Linked DNA regions of Coturnix japonica. The protein of the gene in region 1 purifies or fractionates together with the protein of each later gene. This does not show direct contact. Links are inferred from orthologs where the notes say so. Each region holds a gene or a part of one and is shown on either strand. Other genes may lie near its edges.

Evidence for each region.
Region 2: the proteins of FGFR1OP2 (region 1) and PDCD10 purify together in Homo sapiens (affinity purification with mass spectrometry; 3 studies listed by BioGRID and IntAct, counting the BioPlex papers as one, with this or other methods). This does not show direct contact. The link is inferred for Coturnix japonica from reciprocal best matches to the Homo sapiens genes FGFR1OP2 and PDCD10.

Annotation. Positions count from the first base shown.
Region 1 is NC_029516.1:62,492,963-62,498,619, forward strand, and holds part of FGFR1OP2 (FGFR1 oncogene partner 2), read left to right. Parts: intron 1-2,216; coding exon 2,217-2,330; intron 2,331-2,623; coding exon 2,624-2,737; intron 2,738-3,492; coding exon 3,493-3,630; 3' UTR 3,631-5,657. UniProt on the Homo sapiens protein: May be involved in wound healing pathway.
Region 2 is NC_029524.1:18,269,656-18,275,996, forward strand, and holds the start of PDCD10 (programmed cell death protein 10), read left to right. Parts: upstream 1-2,511; 5' UTR 2,512-2,661; exon of another isoform or gene 2,662-2,704; intron 2,705-6,341. UniProt on the Homo sapiens protein: Promotes cell proliferation. Modulates apoptotic pathways. Increases mitogen-activated protein kinase activity and STK26 activity. Important for cell migration, and for normal structure and assembly of the Golgi complex.

The DNA of each region.
Region 1 (5,657 bases):
GACAACAAAACAATAATAATGGAAAATAGTGTTACTTAAACGGGAGATTTAGGCTTTGGCATTTTTATTAAGTTGGACCTCACAAATATACTTGATAAAGAGGATTTATTACCCTTTCCTGACTCTTAGATTTCTGGCATTTTGTTATTTATCCCTCTGGTCAGTCCTCGCCTCCAGTAAGACTGAACAATCTTGAAGCAGTATTTAAATAGTTCTTAGCACATTAACAACAAATTCCATAATACCTAACGAGCTAATCTCAATGTTACCAGTAATCACTGCTTTCTTAAGTGGCAACTGTCAACTTCAGTGGCTATTTGCAAAATATTATTTAACTCATTAATTTCTGCAGCTCAACAAGCACCTGCCTTTAACAGAACAGCAGTTTCTCTTAGCATTCTTGTGTGCATGAGAATTGCTTGTAATGAGCCTAAGCATGCTGTCTGATCTCCTGTTAGTGACCTTGTAACAGGCTCTAGATCATATTGATCGAGATGCCACATAAGCTTGCCAAATGAGACAGCTGTGTATCTAAAAGCCACTAATTCCTTCCCAGTCCTTCTCCAGGATACATCCTAGCCTGCTCATTCTTTTACCATTGATCACAGCTTCCTTTCAAGCCATATTTATTCTTTTAAGAAACTCTTGAAAAACAACTTTCAGTGAAGGAAAAATGCTCAATGCACCCACTCTCACTGGAAATTGAGAAGAATTTACAAGCTTATTTACAGGAAGCTCTTTTTCTCCTCCCCACTCCTTTCCCTCACTTCCATGCTGCAAACAAACACTTAATGAGTAAACAGCTAAACCACAGCTTTGGCAACTGAAACAGCAGAGAAGGATGGGAAGGGCTGATGTTCATTTTTAATGGTTGGTCAGACTGTGATTCCAAGCAGAGGAATTTTTTTTTTACGATAGTTTAATTGTTTCTGAGAGTTCAAGGGCAAGGTGATGATCTGCTAGATGTGTGGACTTCTAATCAAGTTTGTCATTTAAAGATGGTATTTAACTTTAATCTGTGCTGTTCCTCACTGTACATAGCAGATTTCAGTCCTACTGTTCTTTTTCTAGTAATATTTAATAAATGTTGTGAATTTTGCCCAAAGGTCAGGCCAGGCATGGAGAGGCAGGTCTGTTAGTGGATTTGGAATAAGAAACAGGTTGAAAGACTGGACAAATTAAAAGCGTCTGTAAATACATTAAAGTATTTGGCTTAACTCTACAGCAGTGAATGCCAAATCACTTAGGCTCTTCATCTACATTTTTCAAGAGAAATAAGCAGAGGCTCTATAAGTGCTTCTTGCTGATATGCTGGCCAGTGAGAAAGTAAAACATCACCCAAGCCAACAAGGGCCAAGTAAGATATCACTTATTTGCAAACAGGGGAGATTATTCAAAATCTAACTTCCCTGCAAAGGCTGTTAGGCCTGTGTTAATGTCTCCTATCATCACTTTCCTGGCAGTGGAACAAGATGAGCAAAGACAACTACTGCACTTGTTGTTTTTTTCTCCTCCATGAATATTTCAGTGAGATGCAGTAATTATTTATAATAGGGAAGTACCCTATTGGTATTAATTAGTGGAGGTCAGGCAGGACACGAGGGTGTTTCTAGAGTTCAACAAGGACAAGGACCTCTAGAGACCAGATCCCAGATAAGCTGAAATGGGAAGTGGATTTGAGCAGCGGTACCGCAAAAAGGACTCAGAGTTTTCCAACTTATGTCATAGTCAGGATGACAGCTTTGCCTGCTCTTTCTAACAGAGAAATGCCCACTCACGGGCGAGTACTGTCTGTACCAGACTTGCGACCAGCTTTCAAACAGGTCCAATATGCTGCTGTGCTCAGATGAAGTTGGCCTTTCTGCACATCCAGAAGGACGCATACATCAGCTCCTGCAGTACAGGAAGTTCTTGCCAGAGCAAACACGTGGCTGTCTAACAGCCATCTGGGAGACATGGAAGCTGTCAAAGGCACAGTCATTTGGGCATGTTTTCTTCTGTAAAACTCCTAAAAGTGAACCGTGTGGCAAACCAGATTGATTTAAATGAACAGAACTGCAGTGGCTGCTCATGCTGTAGAGTTAGCGCTTCTTTGTTTAGGTCTGTGTTTGCATTTTTATTGCATGACACGGCAGTTTAAATGCACATGTAATACTTTATTTTTAGTAATGAAGAAAGCTTATTACTAAAAGTACTGTTTTATCTATATGGTGTAGGAACTACAAGTGCACGTGGACCAAATTACAGAAATGGCAGCGGTAATGAGGAAAGCCATTGAAATTGATGACAAGCATGGCTGTAAAGAGCAGGAACGTATCATTCAGCTTGAAGTAAGTATGAGATCTTTTTTTGAGATTTGTGCCAGTGATGGCACAAATAGGGATCTGTCTTCCTCTACCCTCCCAGTGAGAAATGCTCAGAACTGACTGTGAGACAAGAAGTTGCGATTACACACAGATCAGAGTCTGGCTGTCAGAACAGGGAAACTCTCTGCCACTTATTTGGGGAGTTGGGGGAGCAGGTTACCGCTACCCAAATACGTTCACACAAGCTTTAAATTGTGCTCCACGTCTCTAAACAAAATATCTTGTTCTGACCCTACAGTTCTACCTTTCTTTTACAGTCTTTCAGTACTTTAGGGTTTAGGAATAGCCAGCTTCCCGTGCATCTGCTGCCAGTACTCAAAGCCAGCATTAAGATAGCTGCGTGCTATCTTCATGGAGCTGGACTGTTTCAGGTAATTAGTTTACTTAGGAGAATTAGTTTGATGTTGTATCAAGGAGCTGAGGGGGCTGTAGCTGACATGAGATTGGTCTCTGCTGCGGTGCCATCTTTCCAGAACTCGGGAGCAAATCATGTTCTGTATTCTTGCAGTAGATTTGCTGAAATTGCCACAAATCCTGAGATGCTGATTTAGACTTTTGCTTTAGTCACCTGCTTGGTTTTCCAGTCTCCCTCGGTATTAAATCATTTCCTTTGACAAAGGTTTTCCCAGTGCGCTACCAATTTGGCTGCTTTTTTATAAGACGTTGTGGAACCAAGTCACACGTTATTATCGAGTGAGGAACTGGGTGCAATGTTTAATTATTTCCAATGCTGCTACCAACCCTAACAACAGTTTTTAAAGTCAGTAAACTCTTCAGTAAAGGGATCCTTTCTGTTTGTAACTCTGTGGTAATCCGGCACGTAAAACAAAAGCCGCTTTGTGCACTTACCTTCTGGTACAGTTCGTTGTGTGTAAAATGCCTTTGGTTCTGTTGTTCCCAGTGCTTCAGTTATTTCTAGAACTCAGCCCTTAGCAAGGGTGTTAACCTTATCACAGTTACTGAGTTACTGTCTCTTTCTTGAGTTACTGGATCATTCACTGGTACTGCTAGTTTGTTGCATGTCTTTTGTAAGTGTGTTTGTAGTAAAGGGAAGGAGAGATCCTTCATGTAGTTATCTGACTTTCTGGAGTTCTATTAAATGCCTTTTTTTATCCCTCGGTTATAGCAAGAAAACAAAGGCTTGAGAGAAATTCTTCAGATAACCAGAGAATCATTCCTGAACCTTAAGAAAGAAGATGCATCAGAGAGTACATCCCTTTCAGGGTTAGTAACAAGCAGTGATTTGAGCCTGAGGAAGAGCTGAAGACTGTGGAAGCCAACCAGCTTTAATTGCACACTTTACAAACGGAATATCAGGGGTCACTTGTCAAGCACTTGTTACTGAATAGGGCACCAGCAGGCTTATGCATCTTGAACTTTGGTTTAGTGGCTTTTATACCGTGTAAAATAAACTCCAGTCGGTACTCTCTGAATACCGTAGTGACAGATTAATTGCCATAGGTCTAACTTCAGTAGGAAATGGGTTAGTGCACTTATGGAATTGGGAATTATTTTTATATGAAGTCATTTTACAAATAAAATACATAATTTCACTTAATTTATATAATTTATTGCTCGGACAAAACTTCAGTGCACCTATTATACAATAAATGCAAGATTTAAAGTAGTCTGATATCTGGCTAAAAGATAGCGACTGACTACGCTTTGTGCATGCTCCATAGTTCATTTGTCCTTTTAGTTACTAAGGTTTGTGAAATTCAGCATTTAGCAACGAGCCTCTTTAATGGAAAGAGCCAGCAGAAAGCCGACGGGCTCCTGTTAGCCGCAGGCTGCCCTGTTGCAATGTAAGGCCAGTTGCTCAAACATAAGCAATACTTTTGCAGTTGTTTTTACCTTATGAGAGAAAATGAAGCTCAGTTCTCTGTGGGTGGCAGGCTGCCGTAGTCTCATCTGTTTCTTTGGGGATTGGCTGCCCAAAGCTAGAAACAGCAATTTGAAAGCACTCAGACCGTACTGAGGGAAAGATAATTGGGAGAAAGAGGTGAGAAATTCTATGGCAAAGTTAGCAGACTGTGCACCTGGAACTATTATTTTCTTTCTTTAAGTACTATTTAGTCAAGGAGTTTTGTGTATTTTCACTGGGAGCTCTCAATACATCACACTGACAAGACTGCTCACTTTTATTAGTGAAAAAGCTGCAGAGGTGAAAATGAATTAGCGCTTCTAGAACAAGAAGTAGCTTGCACGGTTTGCCTGTACACCAGAAGTGCTTCGTAAGATGTGTTTGCCATGAAAGAGGCGCCGCAATGATTGACAGCTGGCTTTTGTCAGACCGCTTCTGCTCATTGTTCAGAGCGCTAAGGCTGCTGCTAAGCGAGTTACCACATTTTGTTCAGCGTGTTACTATAGTCTTTACTTGGAACGCACACTTGAAGTACAGTAAAAGCTTTCAGTCACAGAAGGCTGCAGATGTACAACCGGTATCGGGGCTGTTTACTAACTTACTTACCTCGCACAATGAGTTGAAGTACTCTGCAATCAGTTACCATTTAAACAAGTTTCATTTTCAGTTGCAACAATGCAGGCGGGATGGAGCATTAAGCGCTATCAAATGCGGCTGTTTTAAAAACAATATTAAGTAAAACCTCCATAGACTCGAAGGTACATGCAACAAAAGGTCTACAATGGAACTTAAGATTCCCAGTGGATGGGCCGATTTACAGGGAGCTTAATGTGATCTCAAGCCCAAATGACACCTGCTGTGATCTAAACGTTACCCATGCTTACATAACAGCTTTTTGCATTTCTGCTGTAGCTTGCAAGCCGGTGACTTAGCAGCAGCGACATCTATTGTACCGCAGTGTGTTTTGGCACTGCCAGCTGGGAAGAAATTCTGGCTTCAGGTTTTTCTCCAAGTGTCTTTTCAGCTGTTGGCTGGTATCAGAGACATTCGCATCCGTTTGATACTGAATGCAGCTCCACGGCTGACCTGCACTGTCTCAAATACAGTCTGCAGAGGGTGTAGCAGAGAAGGGTTGTTAGACTGTGGCAGTTCTTTAAGGTTGCTCTATTATGAAATAATGCTTGATTAGTGTTTATTTTTGTAAATTAAGATATGTGACTTAATTTATCTACTCTTAGTCTTCACGTTTGATACGTCTCCCCTTCTGTTCCCCTGACCCGATCACTTTAGGACTTTAAAGAGCCTTCACGTTGTGTGGAGTGACTATTTTTCATTGCATACCTGTTATTTTTGTAATGCGGATAGCTTGAAAAGAATTTATGGCTAGAATTGTGTACTGTACAGTAAACTTATTTTATCAATAAAGT
Region 2 (6,341 bases), on another chromosome or scaffold:
TGTTCTCATAATCATTAGCTTTGAAGTATATTAAACAAAGCAGAAAGTGACCTTAGAGTTGATATTTTCAGCACACCACAGAAGAAAAAATTCTTATCAGACATTTCAGGCCACCAAATGAGATGCTGCTCATAATCACCCAAAACACAAACAGCTAAAAGAACATCGCTGCTACTCTGCCAAGCAATGCCAGGCAGTGACCACCCTACCAGCAGGGCTGTGTTATAGACACCCAATTTCAGCTTGGCTGAAGGATCAACATGAAGCACATTGCATGTATGAGACCAACAGGAAAAAAAAACCAAAGCTTATTAATACAGCATGGCTTTATTAACAAAATGCACAGGTTACCTTACCTACATTTATACTCACCAACAAACTCCACTAACCCAACAGTTTTGAAGACGCTTCCAAATTTAAATCAACTACTCTGATCTTCAAAGGTACAAAGTTACCACTAAACATGTTACTTCATAGATGTCTATCCCTACTATCTGCCCACTACCTTGAATATTAATGGTTACCTCCTAAATAATTTTAAGCAGAGAATCACAGGACACTTAACATGTTAATTCATGTTCAGGCAGACAGAATAATATACTGCCTACACAGAATATCTGCTAACAAGTTACTTTAAACATTCAAGAGTGACAGACATAGATAAAGAGCAACAAAACTTGAGTTGGAGAAAGCAATAAGATACTGGAGCAATCAGAAAGGTCAACAAAGTGGAAGAGCGATAAAGGAGCACAGAAGCAAAGGGAATAGTGGGAATGTGATGGTGTTACAAAGGAAAAGGGCTCACCCATCACTGAAGATCTGGGTTCACAAGGAAAACACCACAAGGGAGGGATCTCCAGACAGAGATTCTTCCCCAGTGGCAGTCAGCTCTTCAGTGTGGTCTAAGAGAGACACAGCCAGACTCCGCTCCTTCTGAACTGGTGAAGCCTTCACCAGTGCTCCCAGTTGACTGGGTCCTTTCCCCAGGTGCACAATCAGTGGTTCAGGCTTTGATTCAACAGTCACCATACAGATACATAAGTGAGAAAGCATACTAAAGACCTTGGAGTAGCTAGAGCTTGGTGCAAAGGATCCTACCAGCACCATCTCCTCTCCACTGCTCCATTTAGTAACAAAACAAAAGTTGAATTAAGAGGTAAGTAAACATATGACATTGACATATATAGAATAACTGTTGGGAGTTATTACAATGATGGAACACTCAGACACTCCTGGAGCTCTGCTGGACTGCCTGAACACAGGTCAAAGAGCATATTAAGTAAATCTAGGAAAGCATCATTAAGCATTACTTATGCTGTGACTTAAAGTAAAATACTAGCACCAGTAGGACTGCAGCTTCCTAACATCACTTTACAACCACTAAGGAATGACAATATCATAGATGCATATGCACCTCAACCCATGCTATAATGCTTCTGTGTCTGTCACACAAACTAAATAGCAAGGCTTTCTGCTGGATTAAAGCACTGATCGCATCAAAATAATTGAGGAATCAAAGACAAATACTCCGCATACACAGTAAAGCATGACAAATCTAGTAGTTGTTTTCTAGCATCCTTCCTTACCTACATGCAGATGGTGGGCACTGGTAGCATGTATGGGTAGCACACACAAGGGCTCTGCTCCCACACATATATCAGTATCTTCCCATTTCACCACCTCGGCGCTGCAAGGAGATGCAGCTGGCATTCAGGAGCACCGCGATGCACCGATTCATCACCTGCTTACAGCAAAACCCGCATACGCCTCACCAAAGTAATAACAGTACCAGGAAAAGTTGCAAGCTAACGCATTAGAAACGAAGGCTCAAACCTAGAACTGAGCTGCGTATTGATGGGAATTCATATTGGTTACTAAGAGCTTCACCTTAAAGCTTTCCAATAACTGCGAGCACCAAAAGTAACGCGACCGTTGTCAAACAGCCCATATAGGGGACACCTACAGGGCAACACAAGCCAAGAGATAGAGAGGAGAGAGGCAGCAGCTCAGCACAAGGCTGGGGCAGCTTCGTTCTGCCACGCTCAAACCACGGCTGGGACAGAGCTTCAGGAGACCACAGAATAGCATAAAACACACTCAGGTGGACAGGCTGCAGGTGCCGGGACAGCAGGACGCCACATTATTATTGCTCTCTTCCTTCCCCATTCTCTCCCCACATCACCCACCACCTCCCCTCAGGCACTGACACACAACCCGCACTACGGAGCCACGCAGCTTCACACCGACATCAAACCGCAGGCTGCTCCCGCAACCCTAAACACAGCACCGGCTGAACACAGCAGGCTAAAGGCACTTACCACAGCAGCAGCTCAACACCACCCCCCTCCACTGTGAGAAGTGCAGCCGCTGCTCCCCGCGCCGGGATATGCCACCGCGCCCCGTCCAGGCCTCGCCCACCCGTCCAGATTCGAGCTCTGATTGAATAGACTCTACTCCTATACTCCTCCTCATTCCCTCCTACCCGCCCCTTTTATCGCCTCGTTGCATTGTTGGTGTTGTAGTTGAGGAGAGAGGACTACGAATCCCAAGTATCCGAGCGGCTGCCGGTTAGTTCCGGACAACGCCTGGTGTGTGGTAACACGGCGGACGCTTCCTCCTTGTTGGGTTTCCGGCGAGGTGGAGGAGCCCCCTCGGAGCTCGGTGAGCTTTGCGGGGCGGAGAGGTATCGAGGTAAGGCGGTGAGGTGAGAGAGGCTTCGTTTTCTTCTCTAGGCCCATGTCTTTAAAGGGATAAGCGCCTGGAGAGACACAGAGGAAGAGGGTGGGGGTCACCGGTGTAAGGCCTGGGTTTCCTTTTGGGGTTGTGCTATGTTAGAAGCGTTAAACTGTCTCAGGTTTGAGGCTGGGTGAGGGGAGAAACGTTGTTTGCTGCAGGTGTGAGGCCTCGGCCTTTTTCTTCCTACCGCGGGGTGACCTGGCCCAAGGGCTCGTCCTTGTTTCCGCCCTTCCCGCTCGGATCCCTCCTGGTAGGGCCGGGTACCAACCCCCGTCCGCAGCCCTATGGCTGTTCTTGGCAGCGTTAGGCCTGCGTTGTATTTTTAGCCCGGCCTCGTACTGCTGAACGGCGTTGTCAGGGCTGGGCCTGGTTCGCTCCAGGTGGGGCCTTTCGTCTGGGGGAGGATAGAAAGTGATCACGTCGTGCTTCCTCTTTAAACCAAGCTTTAGGCTGGTGTTGTTAAACACCTTAGTGTGCTGTTATATGATTAATGAGTGGCGAGTGTGTGGCCTTCCTGGGGCTTGTCCATATAGGGGGCACAGGTTTGCTGCTGAAGCCTTGAGGCAGGTGGATGTGTTCTTGTTATCAGAGGAACTGATTGCTGAGTGCTGGTTGTTTACCCATTGGGATGTGTTATTGTGTTTGGAGCTGTTTCTGTTTGTGGTTTATCTGTTAGTGGTTGATAGGGCAATGAGAACTGAGTAGTTTTACTTTCAAATTCCCTTGGAAGAGGAAAAGAGCTTGAAAGAGAAACAGGGATGTGTTGTGTTATTCTGTATTGGAGAGGCTTCTTTGTGGCCTTCTAGTACTTAAAAAGAGACATGTTAACAAAAGAGAAATGAACTTTGTCTGCGTGTCAGTAGTGATAGTACAAGAGAGAGATGAAATTAGGGCCTAGTCCAGGCATCTTTTGTTTTTCATGTGATAGGCAGACACAAAACCAAAGTATTAGGGTGTACTAAATAATTTCTATTCTGAACTTCAGACAACAGATTTATTGAAAGCCAGATTTCAGAGTATTTTGAAGTAACCGTCTAAAAATAGGCTTCTTGAATTTACTGCAAGTTTGTGCAACTTAGTCACCCAAATTGGCTTCACAATAATAAAATGCACAAGCAGTTATACTCTGTCAGAGTGAACTCATCTGGAAGTGGCTGTGATAGATGTGCATGCAGGTATTTGAGGAGTACATGTTTGCTCTACTAAGAGGCATTTAAAGATGCCTATTAAACTTGAGTGCTGTTTTCTGATAGTATTCCTTTTGTTATCTCTTTTGGGAAGGTGCTGAATGTAAGCATTAGCTTAATACAGAACCTGTACAGTAGGCTGCTTCTTTAGGTTTCTTGTTGTCTTTATTAGTTTTAGAATACAGAGGTTGTTATCATCATAGCTGCACTTGACACCAATTTCAGTGAATTCAACCATCCTGTCCCCAGCTCTAATAAGAGAAGTAGCTCAGTATTTGAGGCACAGAGGCTTTCAGCTTTGTACTATGCAGTCAAAGTTATACAAGAGGAGTGGTTATGATCTACGAATGGAAGTACTATGTAGGTAACTTCTCTCCGGAAGGGGGGAACTTGTGCTTTTTTTTCCAGTTTATTATGAGCAACCATTAACAAGAGAAACTTAAAGGTACCAAGTTGTGCACAGGGTAGGTACACTGTTAGAACTGCATATTAGCCATGTACTTGGGCTTTACAAATAAAGGCCAAGGTCTTTGCCTCTGAATTTGGGACAGGCCTCAAGTTAAGTGTTTGTTTTTATCCCGTTCTTTCTTACTAAGCTTAAGTTTTTCTGATGGCAAAGATCTTAGTGGATTTTCTCTTAACACAACCTTCTTGAATCCTCCCTACAAGAAGTGGAGTGGAACTTCTTGTTAGTGGGGATAATCTTTCTAGGAGGAGCAGAGCTGTAACTTCTGGTTCTGTCCTAAAAACCAGTCATTGAATTAATCATGCAGGTAGATCAATGCCTCAGGCCTTCTTCCACTTGGTACTTCGCTTAAAAAGAAGGAGCAGGCTTAAAAAGAAATAGCACAAACGTTTGGCTGCTTTAAGATTATCTACATCTGAGGTAAATGGAGCCTGGAGAATGGAATGGAGACAGCACCAGTGGTGTAGGTAGGTGACGTAGCTGAGGAGTGAAATTCTGCCATCTGGAACTTCATGTTTCCATTGTTTTCCAACTTCTTTCAAGTTCCAAGCATAACACTCTGTCTTCTCTTTAAACATGCTTTCAAAAGGTAGTATGAAGCAAAATACTTTCTTTCATAGACAAGTAGATTGTTTTCACACTGACCAGTGAGCAAAGGTGGATTTGGGAAAGTTTCTGCCCTTCCTGGTTCTTCTGCCACTTGACTTTTAAGTGCCTGTCAGAAAATAGCATAGATGAGAAAAGCAAGTTTGTGTCTTGGGCACTGGTAACAGTAGCTGTACATTTTGGGAAAGTGTGGAGTTTCTTGCTTTTCATCTTCCTGCTTTACAAGAAGTTTATCTGAATGTAGGGTGTTGTGTTGTTTTTTCCTTTCAGGCAGTTCCATTGAATGATTGAAAACCTCATTGGGTGGATTTGGAGGAATAGATCTATAACATAACATTGAAATTCATCTTAAGTGTGCTGGTTCTGTGATTACTGAATAGTTGGGCTAGTCTTTTGGTGCTGAAACATTGAAGGTTATAACATATAAGATTTATATGGACAGTGAAAGTAGATTCTGTATTAGTTATTCTCTGGGAATAGGGCTTGATGCATTTGGCTTAATGCTAAACAGACAGGATTATATTAGCTTGCATCTTAGCACTGTTTTCGAATTTAAATTCTCTTTACACTGGCTATATCCATCTTGTTCCTTCCCTCTGATGATTGATTTCATCTGATAGGGGTGAGGCATGACTTGTAATTACACATGCTGGTGAACAGGCTACATTTGAATCTGTGGGACTGCTGTGTAAAGAAACAAGTCTTATATGCAGATGATATTGAGTAGTCTGTCTTTTCCCATAACTCATATGGTATATCCTAATTTCTCCTAGTCTTCTCCCTCAGACCAATTAACAGACTGGCCAGTTGAGTAATGTTCTTTTTGCATCTAACAGCAATTTTCCAGGGTTTTCTGTATTACATGACACTGTGGTATTCTAATGGATCAACTATTTGTAGGATCTTATTCCAGCTTTTTTGATTGTCAGCAAAGCCACACATAGCAACACTTCTGAAAGCTATTGGACTACCTAACAATTCACAAAAATGATGGAGCTGGTTTTAGTTTGCATGGGGATTTGGTCTAAATCATGTTTGAGACCATGAGATTAGTGAGGTGCTGGAACAGCTGCCCAGAGAGGTTGTGGATGCCCTGTCCCTGAAGGTGTTCAAGGCCAGTTTGGATGGGGCTATGGGCAGCCTGGTCTAGTATTAAATGGGGAAGTTGGTGGCCCTGCCTGCAAGATGGGTTAGAGATTCATGGTCCTTGAGGCCCCTTCCAACCTGGACCCTTCTGTGATGTTGCCAACAAAAGTGGCTCATGTTCTTGCCTGTTTTTTGTGTGCATGTGTATTTAAAAGCCCCTCTTGTCCTCACTACCTCTTGTCTTCCATCCCTTGAGTTCT